Linked DNA regions of Styela clava. The protein of the gene in region 1 interacts with the protein of each later gene in a biochemical or structural test. Links are inferred from orthologs where the notes say so. Each region holds a gene or a part of one and is shown on either strand. Other genes may lie near its edges.

Evidence for each region.
Region 2: of the proteins of serine/threonine-protein kinase VRK1-like (region 1) and barrier-to-autointegration factor B-like, one has a biochemical effect on the other in vitro, tested with the Caenorhabditis elegans proteins (2 studies listed by BioGRID). The link is inferred for Styela clava from reciprocal best matches to the Caenorhabditis elegans genes vrk-1 and baf-1.

What each region holds. Positions count from the first base shown.
Region 1 is NC_135253.1:16,538,941-16,550,641, reverse strand, and holds the start of serine/threonine-protein kinase VRK1-like, read left to right. Parts: upstream 1-6,987; 5' UTR 6,988-7,078; coding exon 7,079-7,232; intron 7,233-7,619; coding exon 7,620-7,675; intron 7,676-8,018; coding exon 8,019-8,088; intron 8,089-8,296; coding exon 8,297-8,493; intron 8,494-8,866; coding exon 8,867-8,959; intron 8,960-9,039; coding exon 9,040-9,172; intron 9,173-9,664; coding exon 9,665-9,847; intron 9,848-10,700; coding exon 10,701-10,897; intron 10,898-10,997; coding exon 10,998-11,539; intron 11,540-11,618; coding exon 11,619-11,701. Other genes in the region: uncharacterized protein LOC120327175, read right to left, coding at 1,587-1,729, 2,155-2,293, 2,411-2,476; endoribonuclease LACTB2-like, read left to right, coding at 5,575-6,447. UniProt on the Caenorhabditis elegans protein: Serine/threonine kinase that phosphorylates baf-1, thus regulating the association of baf-1 with chromatin and nuclear membrane proteins during nuclear envelope formation. May act through the egl-17 signaling pathway.
Region 2 is NC_135251.1:13,960,259-13,970,497, forward strand, and holds barrier-to-autointegration factor B-like, read left to right. Parts: upstream 1-6,022; 5' UTR 6,023-6,103; coding exon 6,104-6,229; intron 6,230-6,634; coding exon 6,635-6,781; 3' UTR 6,782-8,191; downstream 8,192-10,239. Other genes in the region: zinc finger MYM-type protein 1-like, read right to left, coding at 9,254-10,239. UniProt on the Caenorhabditis elegans protein: DNA-binding protein which plays an essential role in nuclear envelope formation. Required for normal chromosome segregation during mitosis. Associates with the nuclear lamina via its interaction with LEM domain containing proteins emr-1 and lem-2.

The DNA.
Region 1 (11,701 bases):
CCTTATCGGAGCAAAGGCATATCGACGCATGAAATCCAAATTGGGCTAAGTCCATTTTTCTAGTTTTGAGAAAAACGCAAAAAACGTTTTTTTTTTTTATTTCTTTTTTTTATTTCTCTAATACCTTACATCGATGATGTCTAGTTTTTATGGTCGACCAAAGTTACAATGAAGGCCATATTCAGATGGTATAAAAAAAATTGTGCTCCGCCCCAATTTTTTTTGGCGGGTTTTTTTTTGGACTTAACCCTTTTTGGCTGTCAATTTTCTGGACCAGAAACAATTTTATTGGACCTAGGGCCCCTTTGTTATGTTATTATAGAGGCTGGTATGGACTTAGCGCTTTGTATTATATTTTTTGAGAAGAGCTATGTCCAAAAAACGGACTTAGCCCCAACTTACAATGCAGTTATCCAGAGCTAAGTCCACTATAGTAGACACAGCTCTGTTTAGTTCTCAAATGCCCTAAAAAAAGCAGGGTTATGTCCATAGCTGTCTTGAGATCTAGAGCACCTAGAGATAAGGCAAATAGACCCAAATGTAGAGCTAAGTCCAGGAAAATCAGCAATTGAAAAATGTCATTTTTTGGAAAAGTGTACTTAGCACTGTTTGGTTTTGAGGTGTCGATATGTTCAAACTCACCAAGGTTGGAATGGTATTAACTCTTCCAATTTCTAATGATGATAATCATAGTCAAGATTTCTGACAGAAATTCAACCAAAAAGTTGACTAAGCTTTCGAAAGACAATTTAAAAACGCTAGCATACACCAAAGTCTTTAGGGCAGGGGTCGGGAACCTTTTTGGTCAAGAGAGCCATAAAATATACATATTTTCAATTGCATTTCCGTGCAAGCCATATAACATTTCTTCACTTAATCAGGCCTGAAATGTTTACTCAAAAGTCAACACATACAATGTCAATATACATTTATTGTGATTTCTGATGCTGCATGTAGTCGCTGCGGGCCTTGAACGGTTGCTCACATGCAGCCCAAGTTGAAATCTACAATACTCATCACCCTTTTTCGTTTAGGCATCTCCGTAGTGTTTTTAAAACTATATCGCTTTGTGATGTCACAATATATGTTCCAGACTCCCCTTGTTTGTCACAATGCCTGTCTGGTGATTATCTTACATAACATAGACATGTGCTGGGCGCGCGTTCTCAAACGTATTGGGAATTTCCTGCCAAAATTGGCTATAAAGGTGTTTGAAATCTCGTAACAATAGTAGCCTAAGCTTAGTCTTAGAATATTAGATTTTTCTGGGAGCCATATGCCGTCACCAAAAGAGCCATATATGGCTCGCGAGCCATGGGTTCCCGACCCCTGCTTTAGGGTCTACTGCCTGCATGCTACCGTCAATATGCACATTTAGCCCAGTAGTACATAAAGTTTGCCAACCACTGGTCTTAATGTTGTTTTGGGGGCTTTAGAGCTCGAGTCAGAGTTAGAATTCCCATTTCCATGAGCCAAGTAGGAGTCATTTTCTTTAATCAGGAATCTATAAATTTTGCTATACTTCACAGTCCTGCAGAGAACAACCATCAACATTGTTTCAACTAGAATATATTGTTAGAACTTACAACAGCCTTATGGCATTCATCTTGCAATATTTCCATCTTTGTTTTATTCTGTTGTTTGGTTGTTGATAGTTTGTTTGCTTCTTGGCTAATATTCTCATCTAATGATTCTGATGCAGCTTGAAGAAGTTGAAAATATGCTTCACCTGAAAGAGGTATAATTAAAATTTTATTTTATTATTATTCAATAATATTCTAAAACTGTGGAATTTAGCACCCAGATTTAAAGATAGCAATTCGAAAAGAATTTGATCTGCCATTTTTATCAATGGTTTTTTATCTGCCAATGGACAATTTACTGACATGAATGAAGCAATATACCTAATTGAAATAGATATTATTAATCATTCCGAAACATAGTTATTTGAAAGAATAAATAACAAATAAATTCAATGCGAGATAAAAATTAATAGAGATAGATTGTTGACCAGCCTTGAAAAAATGAGATTCACTTTCACCTGAAAACTCAACTTAAAACTTAGTAATACTATATAATTGTATCTTCCTGATGGGATTAGTTTGAAAAAATGATAGCTGACAACCAGTGTTGCAAACAAAGATGATTGAATACCTTTTTTCAGTGCTTGAAATGCCCTTTGTAGTAGGAGATTCCTTTCTGGTGGTGCTAAATCATTAAATGAACTGACTCCCATTTCATGCATTTGATGATGAACAAGATCATATAACTTCATCATATAGGTTTGCCATTCCTGTCAATGAAGAGTGTAAACAAGATTGAGAAAATATAGTTTCCAAGATATTGTAAAAGTGGTTTGAGTAGTTTAATCACAATTGAAGCGAGAAAACTTGATTCGGCGCATACTGACCTGAGTTTGTTTCAAAGACTTTTTAGATTTCTGGACCCAGTTTGGAAGTCCCGAATATTTGTCCATAGTGCAAATCTCAATCTGATCCAAATTATTCAATAAATCCTGAACTGAGCCATATAAACTGTTGAAAAGAAAAACAAGATAGGATGAACCTTAAAGATGCAACATAAAGTGGATCAGTTCACAAGTGAATCTCAGAGAAAGATTTTAATAAAATGAGAAGGCCGCAACAAGCGAAAGCAAATGGCATTAAATCGCTTTCACTATGTTGGCATAACAACCTCAAAATCTGACATCTTTCTAAAATAGTAGTTCTGTACATACAGGTAGTTGTGACTTGTAGAGCTTTAATTTAAGTGAAAACGTATCATAAAAAAAATTATGTTTTTCAACTTTTTAAGAATGTCTTGGTTGAAACAATGAATATAACATAAAAAATGCTGCGAATATGAACTTGCTTTCCAACAGCTCCACTTGAAGAAGTTTCAATGTCAATGAAAGTGTAGTTAATTGCTCGCTCCAACTGTTTTAAGTATTCTATGTTGAACCTTTTTTCCAACAGAACTTGATCTAGTATAACTTCGTATTTGAATGAGTTGTGACATTGTCTATCAAAGTTGAAACAAATAAACCAATTGTAAAAAAGTTTGAAAGAAATTTAAACAGTAAATACTGATTCATAAAACATTTCTGATCTTTATCACAGATGTTGTAAATATATCATAAAAAATACTAGCTTGCCACATTCTGTTTAAATACATTGAAAAATTGAAATGAAGTTAAAATGCAAACAGAAAATTGAAACTTTGTAAACATTCATGATTTACAGACATTACAGGATTCTTAAGTCTTACAATCCAAAGCAAATAAAACTTGATGGGCAAGAACAAATATTGATTATAGACATTTAATGTTCCAAAAACTTGTAATTTTTTTTTATATGAAGAAGTTAATAATTAAATAGAAGAAAATAGCATGATCTATCTATATAAATATTTTCTTGAAATTGGAAAATATATTTTTTGGCGTTCGATTGATAAAACAAGATACAACAAACATTACCAACAAATAATAAGCAAAGCTAGCTGGATATATCAATAAATCAACTGAATATATTCATATATATATAACAGCATATAAAGAAAAGCAAGCTTGGGCAAAACATTTTAATCGGACTGATCAAAACAAAATTTCATCATTGAAAACAAAGAAGAAGAATCCAATGAAATGTAAATACTACTATTTTTGCAAAGATCAGAATCGTTTCATTTTCGCTATTGCCTACCTTCTTCATTCCACATTGTGTGGGGACCTGGCTTAAAGCAAGGTCTTCAATCCACGATACCATCAATTTTGGTGTACTACCTACTACACAAATACTGAGATGAAGGAACAGTAGATAGTTACAATCATATGCCTATTGTTCACATAAAAAAATCTACAATTATGATGTCAAATATGACTAGCTTCAACACTATTATTTATTGTCTATTTTGGACTTTTAATATGTCAAACTATGTATTAGCTACATCAACTTCATTCATAAGAGCGCTGGACAAGCAAAAAAAGAAATGAATTTGACGGGAATAAGTAAAGGCAACCCTGCCATTATACCTCATCTATTGTATACCTAACCTCATTACAGTTATTACGGCACAGTAAATGAATACATGATATTGTGTACAAATTTTACTCATATTGCACCATTGGATACATAAACAACATGCAAGGCAGTGAGGGGATTTCCATTAAACAATAACACAGAATACGTCACCAAGGCGACCGACTGCTTAAAGCAGACAGAACCACGTGACAAATACGTAGCAATTGCCAAAACTTTTGTCATTTTTTTCAAAAGTATAATCGAAACTAGTCGTTGAGATGATACAGTAATATGAATGAAATAGCGGATGGAAGTTTTTATAGTAGCCTTTATATAACATATTTATTTTACCCTTTAATGTTAGTAGTACCACCCTCTTGTTTTTAAATTAATTTTTTCGTTAATATTCCATTAAGTTACCGATATTCATTTATGTACCCCTGGTTTCAAATGATCGGTGATAAACGAGCTATGCGTCACTGGTTTTCGGCGCCAAATGGTGCAAATCCGTCTGTATCAGCGATACAAAGCACAGAAGCAAGGAGCTGTCGACTCGGCACCTAGTTACATTTTTTTTAAAACTGTCATAAATCGTCTGTATGAGTCTGTTTACATTATATCCGTGCAGTCGTCAACTGAAGCCACAGCCGCAAAGGGGTCAAGTTATTTTAACTCATTCTTATGGCCTATACCGGTACGGTACCAGTACCGGGTATTTTAGTATTTTACCCATCTATAATTTTGTAATTTGCTAGAGGCCGGACAGATTTACATATCTATAATTTTGTAATTTGCTAGCGGTCGGACAGGCCGCGGTAAATTCAACGTTCTCAAAAAACAGTGACATGTTCACTTGTAACAAATTCCGAAAAAGAGGATGGTGTGAAATGTCGTTCAGTTCATTTCCTTACTGCCTCACAGCCTCATGGTTATGTTTTATAAGACAGTACCGGTACTGCAATATGAGCTTGATTCAAGCAAGGTCTTAGACCTTTGCTTATAGTGGAAATATTCAGATATTACTGATAGAAAAAAATATAAGCTCAAAAGTACTTTATATCTGTATATACATTATACTGATATATGACTCGGTTTATTGTTTAAACAGAAATGCCAGTCTGCCAATAGAATAACCAGTTTTCTGTTTTTATTTTGTTAGTGTATATCTAAGGGATTAGGGCACCATAAGGTTATATTAATCCGCCTCCTGACCTCTTGTCTCTTATATATTGATCCAAGTTTTTAAATTTATACACAAGCAGCTAACATATATGTTACAATTTTTAAAAAAGATTTTAAATTTGGGAATCAGTTGAATATTTTGAAATTTTATATGATTTCCACACGAAACTGCAAAGCCCAAGTGTTATTATATTTTATATGACCTTAAATATTACAACCAATACATTGAATACAATACAGCAATATGTAGATATGGATGATTAATTACCAATTTACCATATTTCTGTTATCGGGTAATTCTTCTTTTTCATTTAAGGTATACAAATATTACTGTATATGGTAAAACAGAATCATACTGTATAAAAGATAATAAAAAATGTCTTCAGTCATACCTAAGATTGAGCAACTGTCAAGCAGAGTAATTCGTGTTCTGGGATGCAATCCGTCTCCAATGACTTTACAGGGCACAAACACTTACATTGTTGGCACTGGCAGAAAACGTATTTTAATCGATACTGGTAATCCAAGTGTGCCTGATTACATTTCAAATTTGAAGTCTACTTTGAAAAAATTTAACGTCAGTATTGAAGGAATTGTTCTTACTCATTATCATATGGATCATATCGGGGGTATAGCTGACATTGAAAGGGATGTTATTTCTAGTGGACAAAATGTTCCGCTATATAAATTCGGGCGAGGTATTGATGGCTGGGAAAGTGAAACACCTCCAAACACTGATTCTAAATATTCTTTTGTTGAAAATGCTTCAACAATAAATACAGAAGGTGCAACATTGAAAGTATACCATACACCTGGCCATACAGATGACCATATTATACTTCAGTTAATTGAGGAAAATAATGTGTTTTCTGGTGATTGTGTGCTCGGTGAAGGCACTGCTGTTTTTGAAGATCTTTATGACTACATGAAGTCTCTCGATTTCATTTTGAGTCTTAAACCTGGAAAAATATACCCCGGTCATGGCCCAGTTCTTGAGAATCCAATAGAATATGTTCAATATTACATCAGCCACAGGAATGAAAGGGAAAGCCAAATAATATCAGCTCTGAAAGATTCGTCTGGGCCCCTCAAAAGCCTTGACATTGTGAAAATTATATACGATATACCAGAACATCTTTATGGCCCAGCTGATATCAATGTTAACAATCATCTGAGGAAACTGCTGAAAGAAAACAAAGTTGGCCTAAAGGAGGGTGACTTCTGGCACAACTGTCAAGCTTCTCTTTAACTATTATTGAATTCTTTTAATTTAATTAAAATATCAGTGTTATGTTTTTGACTTGTCATTCTTAATTGCGATTGTGAACTTAATAAGTGGGTACCGAGGTCACAAAAACTCATCAAAAAATGTATGATACTCATCTGAAATAACCATTATAAATCCTAGACAGTTTTGTGCCGAAGTATTGGCAGGTGTAATTCAAATTATTTGTGTTGATTTTATGAGTAACATAATTTTATACTTGAATCTACTTATTTTACTATATTTTTATGATAGTTTTGTAGAGCACAACGCCTTGACATACACCGTCCATAGCTATTGGAGAAATAAATAAATGAGAATTAGTATTCAATATATATGAAAATTAAAGATTGTTTTTATTTTATCATATTAGTGCAATTTTCTGCCACCATTATGTTCGTAAATTACAAGTGATTAGATATATAAACAGCCCAACGTTGTCTTACATTGTGCAATATTTCACTTGTGTGTGACAATGTGGGAATTTTCTTTAATTATCTGACAAAACTTTTTGTGTTAACAATTGTTATTTATATTTAAATTAGTTAACTTCAATAATACTTACTAATGTATGCTATATAAGAAAGGAATAAATAATAATCGATAGAATACCACCATGCCTGCAAAAGGTAAAGGCCGTGGTAAAGCTGCAACAAACTACCAACTTGCAACAACAATAGCAAAAGGAACTGAATTAAAAGATTTGAGAAAAAAGTTATGGTATCTTGGAGAACCAATTGGTTCTGGAGGATTTGGACTCATTTACTTAGGTAATAATATCATTATAATCTATACGTGGAAAAAAATGGCGAAATGTTAGTATTGATGAAAAAAATAATATTATTTGTCAAACGTTATTCGAAATGATGTAATTTTCTCTTTTTTACATGCTCTGTTCGAAAATTGAGTAAATTACATGAAAAAGCTTAATTAATTTCGCATTTGTTACAGTGTAAAGGCCCTGCTGTTTGAAAATAATTAAGTTTTTTAAACAACAGAAAAGTTTCTTGTAATATTTGTTTCTATGTGATTTGAATTAAATTAGGAAGTTTCCATCTGTTGATTACAATATGTCCAAATATTTAATTTAAGCAATTGAATTTGTTATTTCATATTGACATACAAGTACTAATTGATTGATGTTTTCTTTTATACAGCTGATGAAGACAAAAAATGTATCGGAAAAGATAAAGCAAACTATGTGATAAAAGTGGTATGTGGAATTTTACCTTACTTAAATTTGATTAATAAACCTAAGTATTGCCAAAAGCGTCCCTTCTGGTATCATGATAACCTAATTTGCCATGGAATGGAGTGAACCACGCTGATTTGGGTAAAGTGCTCAAACTCATCTAATACACAGCTTTCGGGTGATAGTTTTGAAGGAAAAGTATGCTTTGTGTGATTCAGCGAATTCAAGTTTCATTTATTGCAAAATTATAAATATAAATTATTGGCGGTTTTTATTGGTACCTAATCATTATCAACTGTTCAATATTTAATATTCCTTACTGTTTTGAGGGTTAGTTTTATATGTGTGTATCTCAATTTTCCAGGAACCTCACGGCAATGGTCCTTTGTATTGTGAGGTAGCATTTTATCAGAGAGCTGCTAGGCAAGAGTCCTGTAAGTATCCGTAATACATGGTGTCCATAAAGTCTTTTCACAATTTATCTTGCAATAAATTTTAAATTGCAGAGAGACTTTGGGGGCATGTGTCGTTTTGAAGGGGTTAATTTGTATTTAAAATTTGTGTTAATTGTGTGTTTTGAAAAAAATTATATTTAAGTGAATATCATCTCTGTCTGCTTCTGATCCTATTTACGTTCAACAGTGACTACTTGGAAAAACAAAGCACGCCTATCGTACGTAGGAATCCCAGCTTATGTTGCCCACGGATTACATGCAAATGGAAAGGAGAATCTAAGGTTTATGGTAATGCCAAGATATGGATGTGATCTACACAATCTTTGGCTTAAAGCTGATAAAAAGTTTTCTCGTGTTACTGTCTGTCAACTTGCTATTGAACTGGTTCGTAAGATGAATTCTTTCTGATGCATTGAGTGAATAGTTCGTACTTTTCTTTTACTTGTTTTGCATGCCTGATATCACAGCTATTGAATATTTTAGGTGGCACAGTTTTTTTTAATGGAAATTAACCTTCAAAAGCATGATTTTCAACTGAACGTGTTGAAATTACTAAATTGCCTAAGCCCTTACAGCTTCAATGTTATAAATAAGATAAATTAATTTAAACATTACACAAAGAAATTAATTAGCCAGGAATTACCAATGTGGTTCCCCGTATGAAAAACATTTGACATTTGAATACTGAACTGGATGCTGTAGCCTTTTTTGATGATCTTTAACAATAGAATTATTTATTTGTCTTTATATCTCACAGCTGAATTCGTTGCAATATATGCATGAAAATGAATATGTACACGCAGATGTGAAAGGTGCAAATATTTTAGTTGGGCATAAAGATCAAAATCAGGTTTGGGATGGTTTAATATTTCTTCTCTATATTGGCAATCACCATAACCAGCTAATTTGTTAATTATTGTTCCATTTCAGATATATTTAGTAGATTTTGGTCTTGCTTTTCGATATATTGTTGATGGAAAACACAAACCATATTTGGAAGATCCTAGAAAAGCTCATGATGGAACCATTGAATATACAAGCAGAGATGCACACAGAGGTGTTGGTAAGAGAGGCAGTATCAATATCTTTATGTTTATATATATATATAATTCTTTTACTCGTGGAAGTGATTTCAAATTTTATAAGCATTCTTCTATATTGAATGAGGACTGTGGAAACAGATTTGATATTGGAGTCAACAGCTGATACATATTTCCAAACTCTTCCAAGTCAGGAGAGTTTAAATTTATATTTCTTCGGTGTCAAAATCGGATGTGACTTTCAGACTTTTTTTGGAGATAATTGAAGTCAAATTTCAAACAGGAAGTTTCACAGCAGTTAATAAAAGGCTTGTGAATGCCAGGGTTTTTGAACTGAAAATTGAATTTGATTGAGTCAAAATTTAGTAGAACGTGCGGTCTGGAGACAGAGTAAAATTTTCTTGTCATCCCGGTGCCAGGGTCGTCAAGTGTACATTTTCCCAGATTTCAAAGCATGCATCTGAGAATGATTAGAGATGGTAAATGATATAAGACAAACTGTGTTATCGTTTCAGCTCCCTCAAGACGATCAGATCTAGAAATACTTGGATATGTTTTACTGCACTGGGTGTCTGGAAAATTACCTTGGGAAGATAATCTAACCAACAAGAACTACGTGAGAGATGAAAAAATAAAACATATGGATAATGTAAAACAATTTGTTTTATCAGTCTATCCAGAGGCAAAATCAAAGAAAGGTATGTCCAATTGCAATGACTTTTTAATAAAGTTTCTCAAATTAACATTTGTTCACCTGATATTAGAATTTAGTGAAAGAAAATTATAACTTTACCATTACAGCTTTTGTGATGTACCTTCATTTAGAAAATTTGAAAACAGCAATCAGATATTGTCGGCATCTATCAATATCAGCCTTAGTGAGGCAAATAACAAATGATCTATTATGCCAATTGCCAAATATATTCTAAACTGACTCATACCCATTGGGCATATTCAATGAGTTTGGATTTGAAAATGCATGGAAGTAAGATCAGATTGGTCTTCCATTTTCACAGTTTTCATAACTTGAATGAAGGCCTTTTTGTTCACACTCTGAAACTTTATTTGCTCAAAAATCAAAATGATAAACTTCTGAAACTATTCTGAATATTCCTTCCTAGACTCAGGAATTTAGAACAGTGGTTCCCAAACTGGCCAATTAGGGCTCGCGTAACGATTTAATATGGCCCTCCAAACTTGAGTGTCATAGTTTAACACTTTGTTTTCTAGATACCACCAATTGTTACATCATTATAACAGTTTAAGCATGAGCATATTCGTAACGATTCAGTTCAGTATCTCAATTATAGGTACAGGCACTGGTATCGACCCCCTGCGTGCACTCTCCTCTCCTGGCCCGCAAATATCCTTCAGCTTCTAATTTTGGCCTGCGGTTTATCAACTTTGGGAACCACGGATTTAGAATAATAAATCTAATTATCAATTCGTATGGACATGATGATCATATAATAAAATACTTTTGATTTCATTGCATTTCATTATTTTTTTCATGCTATCTAGTAATTATATATATATGACCATTTCTAACAGCTGTTGAAATCGAAAAGTTTCTTCAATACGTTTCAAAGATGGATTATGAAGATGAACCAGATTATTCTGTGTTGAAAAAATACTTTCAAGATGCCCTTAAATCAATGGGAGTTTCACTCAAAGCAAAAATAACTTTTGAAAATGATGAGACGCCAACACCAGCCAAAAAGAAGCGAACAACACAATCACGAGCAAAGGTAAGATAATTAATAAGAATTGAAAACATGATGGTGTTGATTTTTTCCTTTTTGAAATGCATGGACTTACGACAAAAAATATTAATCTCAAATCTGTTAGAGCTCACAGTCGGAAGAAGATGATTTACCCAACAAACGTCCTAAACGTACGCCAGCCAAGAGAAAACAATACACTACGAGCTCATCAGAGGACGATGCAATGAACATAAATTCATCCACTCCTAGCGAACCATCTCCGAAAGTTGCACCTAAGTCCAGAAAGCTGACTAAAACTTCTACCTCGGCAAGGAAACGTCCACAAAAAGTAACTAAAAAGACTGTTTTATCAAGTTCTTCTGATGAAAATGTTGTTATTAATGATGACTCTTCTGCAGATGAGGAAGCAGACAGCGCAGAAGTTTCACCCCCAAAAAAGACAATTAAGAGGAATTCAAAAAAACAATTAAAAAAACAGACACAAAAAATAATCAAACATGACGAAAATGATTTCACAACTACGCCTTCAGAGAACTCGGATGAAGATGTAAAGGTTGTTGATTCAACTTTTGACACTACCAGCCCAAGACGTAGTCCAAGAATAAGCAAAAATCCTAAAAATTCATTGATCAAATCTCCAACGAAAATTGCAAGCAGTTCTAAGAGGTATGTAAAACTAAAATAAAAATTAATTTGATGCATTACGTAGTGATTGTTTTTACATTAAAAATCTATTGTTTTTCAGTTCCTCAATCGCTAAATCTCGCTATTCCATGGCACCATTGCATACCAAGAGTGTTTTGGGTAAAGAAGATACTTTGAGTGGGA
Region 2 (10,239 bases), on another chromosome or scaffold:
GCGAGATGCGACATGGCCCGCCAGTCTAGGTGCGGGCCAGTCTAGTCTATATTTTAAAGTGAATTGGAAAGTAGACCGCTAGCAAAAAAGATTCGGGCGACTGGGCGAAGCCCATCTCTGTACAATGACTGCCAAATGTGCATGCAACTGTGCAATGCGCAGCGACTCTAAAAGCATGAAGTATTTTACGGCACATCCTTTACAAATATTTGGACATATTTTGTGTAATATCCATTTTTTTTCCGGTCATTCTAAATAATTATTACCGATTAGATATTCTGTCAAGTGTCAATATTACCATTGTAAGTTTAATGATATATACCATTTTTATAATACAGTAATAGGCCCTATGACAATGGACTGGAAAATTCACCTGCTTCAATTCTTTCACGCAATCATACACTGTGTCATTTCAAGCATCTCAGTGTTTCAATGCGGACAATGCCCAAAACAGGTGTTTTTGTTTTATAGTTTGATAGTAGCTCCTTGCATATCTGTGCCATAAAATATTGCACAATAGCTAGATATATCGGTTGAATAATTACCTAGTACAACATCATGTGGTTAATACCGTATTTTCCGACGAGTAAGTCGCTTTTCTAGACCCAAATTTTGGGGGGGGGGGGGTTCGTCTTATTAGGCGAGTATGATCATTTTCATTTTTTTGTCGCCTTATTATTGAATCCGGACAATGAAACACCTTCGGCGATAGCATCCCCCACGTCCTCCTCTGGTTAGTTTAAATAAATCGACATTCTCGTGCTGTGAATCTGGAATTTCAATGCTGTGATTATCATATTTGCATTATCATATATGGATTGAATATTACGCTACAAGAAAAAGTCATTATAGGCTATTTTAACCAATGCGCAAACGCGGCGACTGCTCGAAAGGCATTGCATGGTAATTTAAGATTCCCGACGTTGATGCGATTTTACTACCCCGACTTATTAACCGGTTATATGCAAAAACCCATTTTTTCAGGCTTAAAAACAGGCCTCGTCTTATTCGCCGGGTAGACTTATTCGCCGGAAAATACGGTAATTAATATTAATGAAAAATTTATATTCTGGTAATTAGTATAGGCCATTCGTTCACGTTTATCATCTGAAAGACAATCATGTACTATACATTGGGTAACACTAACTTGATTTTCAGAGATCAAGCCATGCTTCAATCCAGTCCATGGAAAAATTGTTGGGACAGGCGGTAGAAACTCTTATGCTACAAGCTACGGCATCTGCAATTTTCCACTGAATATAGTGTGGACTCGGACATACCGGAATTGATGAAATTCATTGTCTGATTACATTTTGATCCAGAATACATTCAAGGATGAAAAAATGGCTCGTAAGTTGAATATTTTTATAGGCTGATTACGGACACTTTACGGCGGTGGTTCCCAAACTTTTTTTTCCGCGACCCCAATTTTTGTAAAATCACAGACTACAGATACTTGCGACCCCACAACGAAAAAACATTAAAAATCAATTTATTCTATTCTGAATATTCTATTTAATCATTCTGATGAAAATCGACTGTAAGTTTGCAGGGCGTTGGTGTAACGTGGTTGTACTTAACTGTTTAGTTCAGTGGTTCCCAACCTTTTTACCCCAGCGGGCAAGCAAAATTAATTTAAAAGAGTTCGCTGACCGGTAACACATGCCATCGTATGAAGACCACGATGTAAAAATCTCTGAGATTCAGAATATTTGTTTAGTTTTAGTACAATGTTAAAATATTGCAGATTACTCCATAATTAATTCGAAAGCTAAACAGAACATGAAAGTAAAATAGGTGAAAATACCTTTGCTGGGTCTCATCTTATTGAGTGCCTTTTTATTTTTTGTCGTTTTGTTTTTGACTGCATGAAGCGCTTCGAAATTATGTATGAAATACAATATGCCCCATATTTTCGCTTCGTGTTCAAGGAAGATTATTTAAATGTCTAAATACGATCCGATTGCATTATTAAAATTGTTCACTTTTATACGAACGCGATGTGGACAAAACACATATGTGTATATTTTCGAGTAGATACTCGCGGTAATTAACATAGAGCTTTTGCAACGGATGGAAACCTTTTCATTAAATGTATTCTCATAATTGTGCTTATTTACTCATTCCAGATAGGATATTTGTCAAGTCTCGGAGGTTGCTCCAAGAAAGACTGGATTGGAGAATCATGAGCTCAATTATAACAAATTTACTCGCCCGCTCTTTCAACTGTGCAGGATGCGGTGGATAAGAAGGAGTGAGTGGGACGCCCTTAGTTTCTGCTATTAAAGGTATGTAATATGTTCATCATATTGTTCCACCATCTTTCTCTGCTCTACCCTCTTCCATTTTAAAAGTATAAGATTATTTTGACTCCAAATCAGCTTAAGATAATTCATAAGGGAAATGAACAAAAATTGATTAAATAGAATCTGACAATCTGGAGTGAAAACAAAACCTTAATTAAGATTAAAGCGTAAAGAATATAAGGTTTTGCCAAAAAGATGCCTATCGTTTCCATGAATTAAATTAAGTTACACACACACAACAACAACAGAGATATAATAAAATAAAAACAGGCGAGAAAATTTAGATAAGTTGGGTATATTAAACTAATAAACGGACTAGTAAACAAAATGTACTTGCCAGTTGCCACACCATTCATTTTTATCATTATGATTGTTAAATTGAATATGGATTTTGTAAACAACTGTGAACAGTAAAGAAATTGAATGTAGATTTTGTATACAAAAGTGAACAATATAGAAAAATATTTATTAAGGAGATATCGCCAAGCTGATTATGATTAGAGTCAAGTGCCAAATTGCCAATCCAATGTTGCCAGAGTTTGGTGCATAATGGCGAACAGTGGTTTTGGAACTTATTTGTATCATCGCAACAGCAAATGATGAAGTTACAACTAAATTTATTGTAAATCAATTAAACAAATAGACTAATCATGGTGCATGATGTTTCTAATAAGATAGATGAATTTCAACAAGGAATATTTCAAGACATTTTAGTCAGATAAAATCGCAAATCATCATTATTCCCTCCAACAAATATTCCCCTCAAAACGTTGTCTACGCCCCCCTTGCGGAATCAAGAATTTCTGTATTTCTCAATTATTATCGTCTTGTCAATGTAAGCTTCACTCACACATTTGCGACTGCAGAATCTTGGCTTAAGATTCCTACTCTGAAAATTTGTTGGGATGCAGTCATTCAGACTAGGCTTTGAACTCTGGTGCTGTAATTTGCTAATACTGCAATTTAACACAGAATTTTTATATTTTTCAGCTCTGGATGATCCGGCAACGAACTCCGATTAATTTTATTACATGTATACATATTTGTAAAATAAAGACATTTTGCTATCTTTTGTATTTTAATTATTTAAATAATGTTAGATTAGTGGGAAATTTCTATGTATAGATCCATACCCTGTCTGTACAACACATCGCCTAACTCGGCCCGACCATATGCCACGATTGTATTACAACGTGTCGCCTACGTAGGCCCGGCCAAATTTCACGATTGTGTTACAACGTATCGCCTACGTTGGCCCGACCGTTTGCCACGGTTGCATTACAGCGAAAGGACCGACGTTGGCCCAGCGGCCAAATCTTCGCTGGAACATGGTTGTTCGCCATTATTGGGCCGGTGGTTCGAACAACGTTCGGCCATGGTTGTTCCGACGTAGTTGTGCTATCTGGGGTGTTGTTTGTATTACTGCACCTCTGGAAGAAATCGCTAGAAAGCTATAACATTTTTAATTCTCCTTTGGTGCTATGAGACACGATACTTTACGTTTACATAGAAGCTGCTCTTCTTATATTTAAATAAAAAAGCACTTTTTCATTTCGTATTGCTCGATCACTTCCGTAAGCTAATGATTTTCACTAATCTTTTATTCCAACTCGGTGCTCTCAGACCTACCATTTTGTTTCAAAATGATGAATTTTTCAATTACTGCAACCAAACTAAAACTACTCGGAGAAAAATGACTATTGAGATATTTGATGGTTCCATTATCTTTGCACACATGTACATTTGCACCCTTGAACTGCACCCAGAACAGTTGTACCTACATACAGATTGCACCCATGAACATTTGCACACAAGTAAATTTGCACCACGCACATTCGCACTCACGCACATTTACAATCGCAGACATTGCAACCGCAAGCATTGGCAATCACGTACAATTGCAGCCACGGGCATTTGTACCGACGGATATTCGCACCCATGAATATTACACCACACTAGACTGGACACTAGTCTTTGAAGTAAAAAAAGCTTCATTGTGGTGAAAATGTACATGGGTGCAAATGTATACGAGTGCAAATTTACGTGGGTGCAAATGTATTTGAGTGCAAATTTCTGTGGATGCAAATGTACATTGTTGCAAATTTACATGGGTGCAAATGTCTGTGGCTGCAAATGTACGTGAGTGAAAATGTACATGAGTGCAAATGTACTTGTATGCAAGTATCCACAGGTGCAAATGTCTGTGGGTGCAAATGTAAGCGTGAGCAATCTATTTGTGGGTGCTAAATTCTGTGGGTGGAAATGTAAGAGTGCAAATGTGGGTGTCAAGTCAAGTTTATTTTTTCCAACCAGTTAAAAATATAACAATCAAAAATTACGACAGAAATAATACACAATTCCAAATGTCCTGGGTGCAGTTTACAAGTGCAAATGTGCTCTCGCCGTATATTTCGTGTTTAAAAACGATCCATGGACCATAATAGGTAAGTTCGTGTCAAACGAGGAAACCGCAAAAACATCAATTTTTAGTATTTATATACTCCATTGGAGGGCGATCGAATGACTGAAAGGGAAAGATTGCCGCGCCAAACTTTTACTTTGTTTAGCGCAGAAGTGGCCAAACTGTAAATTGTGAAATAAAAACGGTACTGATATTATTTTTTCATCATTTATTTATTTTTACAAAACTGTTATGAATCCACAACGTGGACCTTTAAAAAAAAAAAAAAAAAAAAAACGGTACTGAAATGAGTTTTGCGAAGAGATATTTAAGGTCCTAACTTATTACAGTAGTAAAACATAACATTGGTGTAAATCAGCTTTTTGTGTGTTTAGGTGGGGAACGTGCTGTTCAGTCGAACAAACTGGAAAATTGCAGCATTACGGTACAGGTACCCGCACGGTACTAGTCTGGCAGTGTTGTTTTTCTGTATTGTTTATTCAATTTGTGTTATGGTGGTGTAGACAAAAAATGTAATAACAGAATAAAGTTGTATTGTATACCGGTACCGGTACCAGGCTGATGGCTGACTGGTATCGAATTTCGCCATCCCTCAATACAGTAATATGACTTTGCAGTACCGTATGCTACCAACCTTTCTCGAATAAGTATGCAAGTTGCATTGAATACTTCTATTAGTATGGACTTTTCGGTGATTTCATGAATAGCCCCAAATGAAAAGACATCAATTAGCCTATATCGTCGAGGGCAGATCCTCCTGTAACGTTACCAGTGTACGAGACAGTCTGGGCCTTCATATTGCATGATATTGGCAAACCAGCACTGTGCAATAAACTAAAAAGAATCGCAATCTAATAACGTCACCATACTGCTATTGAATTCTTCTGAAAAAATTTATCCAATTTACAGAAAGAAAAAAATTATTTACTGTAGCATTTGAGTGATTAATCCTTATCGTGGCAAATTTATTTTTAGGTTCATAATGTAAGGGAATTTTTAGACTGTCTAAATTTACTCTGTAAAAATTGTTGGGTGAGTGATTTTCATAGCACCTAAAACGAAGTTGATCGCAAACTGGATAAATCGCCTTGTATTGGAATTATCAGTAATATTCTTGAACTGGTTTTTGCATTTTGAAATAAGTTATCTTTCTCCAGTAGTGATATTTTAAATGAAATGAATAATTATCTCAAAAATTTTACAATAGTGTATTTGGGAAATTATTTATATTTTTGTTTTTTGCAGAATTATGGAGACATTGCTGACTTTATTTTGATTCTATTCAAGAGTCTATAACTCACATTATTTTCATATTTCAGTCAACGTTCCATCAATTAATTATTGACCCTAAGCTAGGCAGGGGTATTGAAACACGATGAGTTCAACTTCTCAAAAGCACAGAAATTTTGTTGGTGAGCCCATGGGTGACAAATGTGTTACAGATGTAGCTGGAATTGGTAAAGTATATGGTCAAAAACTTTGTGACAAAGGTTTTGATAAAGTAAGTGTTGTTAAATAACTTGCTGTGCCTCTATTACTGTTTTTGCTTGTTATCCATAAACAAGGTACATTTTTGGCCCCCCTGGTAAATATGAGTTATTTTCTTGAACTCTTATTATTATAGTACATATTTTTGAAAACAGTTTTTATATAAAATATTAGTAATCAAAGTGTTTATATTCTCTAAATGCTTGTTTGAAAAGTTCGAACTTCCTGGCTTTCCAGTGTTTCCTCCCCAAATACTTGGCATATAATAATGATCTTTTAATATTTTTTCGAAAGTTATTTTCATATTTGGATATATTTTGTCTTGTTGTCATAAAGAGGTAAATTTCTGTTTTATTATCAGGATTGTGACTTGATCTTTTTCATTCCATTTTAAAATGATTTACACTTTTTAATACAGGCATATGTACTTCTTGGACAGTTTTTGTTGCTCAAGAAAGATGAAGAAATGTTCAGAGATTGGTTGCTAACTGAAATTAAAATGAGAGATAGAGATGCTATTAATTGTGCATCATGTTTGAAGGAATGGTCTGATGCATTTCTGTGAACACTATCAACTAACTGCTTTTATTTAACTCATGGTTTGCTAGGCATAATTCAAATAGGCTATTGAAAAAAAAAAAGAATTTATTCAAAAGAGTTTGAACAAATTAACATTCACAACAATTAATTTACTGGTATTCCATTTGTTATCTGACAAACATATTGGTGATTGTCTTCAATTAGGATTACATGCGAAAGTATTTTTCAACTACCGGTATGTGGTTTTCTACTGGTGGATCTCTTAGATACGAGGATTTACTAGTAGAAGTGGTTCAAGAATTGACCGAGGGAATACCGGTATAAAAATATTAAGCGAGATAGTTTCATGTCATGTTGATATTTCTAGCAATCCTCTCATCATGATATCTGCCATAAGTGCCATATTTGAATCATACTTTCTGGGTTACAATTTTTTTTTCTGTTCTATGTATGTATGTAATATCCTATTTTTTGATCATTGTTGCATCTTCCGCATTCAAATTCATCAAAGGCATAATTTGGAAGAAAATCAGAAGACATGCAAATAAAGTATAAATATTTGAACCCCCCCTTCCATGACTAAAAGTTAGCAGGGCATTTTTTTTATGCAATTGGCGAGTGTGCCAAAAAACCTCAAAACTTGTTGATATTCTCTTTACTTGTCACTAGGTCAACCATATCCCATTAAATAAGTGTATCAATTTGATTAAACTGAAATCGAACTCACTTACACAAAGTAATTTTCAAAATAAATTAACCAGGTAAAATTGCAATTTCACATTGCTTTATATTATTACATCAATATGATTGTCTTTACTCTCTTGTTATGTTGTTGGTATTGAATGATAAATTTTTTTCGATTGTGTTTGGGACCCTGTAGTCAATGATCAGAAATTTTCTTTACATATTTTAAGAGCTCAATTTTTAAATGCAATTCTGCTTTACTTCAGCTGCTGTTTACTACACTTTCTATATGTAAAAAATATTACCGTACTTCAAAATTTTCTTCGGCCTATATATTTTATTGAAATGTCTATTTTTGAATGAGAATAATGCTGTTATTTGTAGTTGTTAAAGTGTGATGCTTGTCTTTCATTACACTATTTCATCGTCACTATTTTTGAAAAGTGTAACCATGTCTAAGCTATCTATAGCCCTAAATCATCTCCTTGGTTATAAATATTAAAACTAAGAAAAAGCATGAACTGGGAGCATGTTGGGGGAATGTCCATGTTTTTCTCTCTCTAGTTTTCCGCTGGCTCAATATTGAGGCTAAAATCGCACTGATTACAGTTTTAAATTACCGTTTCTTATTTATATAAGTGTACTACAGATACAGGCATCTCTTTTTGAACGAAGTTTTTTCTTGTTGATTTTGTTTACTCGTCGATTATTTCTGCATGTTGAATTAATAATTGATTTGTTTGAAAATGCATTTTTCACCTGTTCATATAAAGAAGTTTTGGGATGACTGGACTATTGTCTTTAATCCAGTGTTTCCCAATCTTTTTTTGGTCGCCGACTATTTTCTCACCAGGGAAAATCATTGCGGACTCATTGTGCGTTAATTGTAAACCCGACTTGTGTGTGAAGAAGCAACAAAATCAAAAACAATTTATAATCCACATTTACAAATTCCGATGGGAACCATAGCGAGGGTGCTCTATCATTGAGACATCGAGAACTGCTCGCTCTGACAAACTCGGAAGATATTATGCGATCGTTGGGGAAAATAATAGGAAAGAATTTGCGGCTAAAATTTTCTAATAAATTTATTCTGATTATTCTCTGTCGTATCGGCTTTGATCGCCTTCGTAAATATAAAAAATAATATATTTATGGCTGGCTCGTCGATTCGCTGTCTTTTTTCCGTTTGTATTTTTCTACCCAGTCTATGTTGTTTTTGCCTCAAAACAAAACCTCTAAAATGTTGTTACTACGTATCCGTTGAAATCTGATAGAATTTTTAATTGTATTTCATATTCACCTAATGGTATTTCATATTCAAATTAGCATATTTGTATTAGTGATTCGAATTTTATCAAATTACCAACTAAAAGATGTGAAACTCATGCGACATTGGCGCACAATACGATCATTTGAAATTGGAGCAATGGAAATACAGGAAACAAATATTAAAAAAAAAATAAAAAAAACATACCAATCAATTTTAGCGTAAGCGAAAGGTACGTGCAAAGTTGTGTTTTTGCCAGAAATCCGCAAGTGCGTTGTGCAATCCAATCGTTTGATTCGGCACGTTCAGTGGCGTAGCCAGCCCAAAATTTTGGGGGGGGCCAAATTTGAAAATTTTAGAAATTATATTGGGTTTAAAACACCCGTTCTTCAAGCGCAAAACAACAACAGTTGGTCAACAAGCAAACTGATTCAATTACTCAGCTGGATTTTTGTGAATACAAAATCCATTAATAAACAATTTTTTATTTGAAACAACAAATATTAACAACGCAATTTAAATAAGTAAAATACATCGCCCCGATTAAAAGTACATCCTTCGCTTCCCGCTAACTATGCTCGACACAACTCGATTAATTTTCTCCTCGGTGACCATTTCACGGTGACAGTGAAGCACACACAAATCAGAAAGGCGATTGGACGTCATTGATGAGCGCAGCCATGTCTTTACCCGTTTCATCCAGGAGAAAGACCGCTCAGCCTCAACGGTGGTTGCTGGTAGCGTCATAACGATCTGTATTGCGGTGTACACGCTTGGATAATCTCGAGCGCTCAAAAGAAGCCCCTCCAAACATTTGTCGTTAACGTCGGAACTTAAAGAAGTTCTCCACAGTCTCACTTCATTCTGGAGGTTATCCAATAAATACAGATGCTCTACCTCATCCACGTGAACTGGTTTGTTCGGTGGAAGAATTGATAGCAATGAAAAAAATGATGGGTTTTCAATGAAGCGTTCCCGAATAGAGCAGCTCAAGCCGTCGACGTATGGGAGATATACGGAACGTTTAAAATAGTGGGATGCTGAATCAGCACAGACATTGTCGCGATACACTTGTACTTCGACTACTCTGGGTATTGTCAACTCTTTCAAGCCAGCTATTTCACAAGCTTCTTTGTAAATATTCAATGCGATTTCAGAGTCATTGCGTTCTTCAGCGATAACGCTCTGAAGAGAGGATGTGAGGTTCTTTACTGACGGCACACTGACTCCGACCGCCTGAAGTGCGCGCGCTAGTGGCTCCATTAGTGCCGAATATCGACCAATCAAACATACGGCGTAGATAACCGACGACTTTTCTAGAGCAGATTTCAGAGAAAAAGCCTTCGCCCGCGTCTCACTGTTAGCATCTCTCGCCAAAGAATCAAGAGCCTCAAGTACTCGTTTGAAGTTGCATTTGAAGATTCGGATGCTCTTGTACTTCTCAGACCATCTGGTGGGGCAGAACAAAGGGATGTTAATTCCTAAACCCGCGCGCCTTTTAGGGCTCTCCCTGAAAAAACGAATAGTCT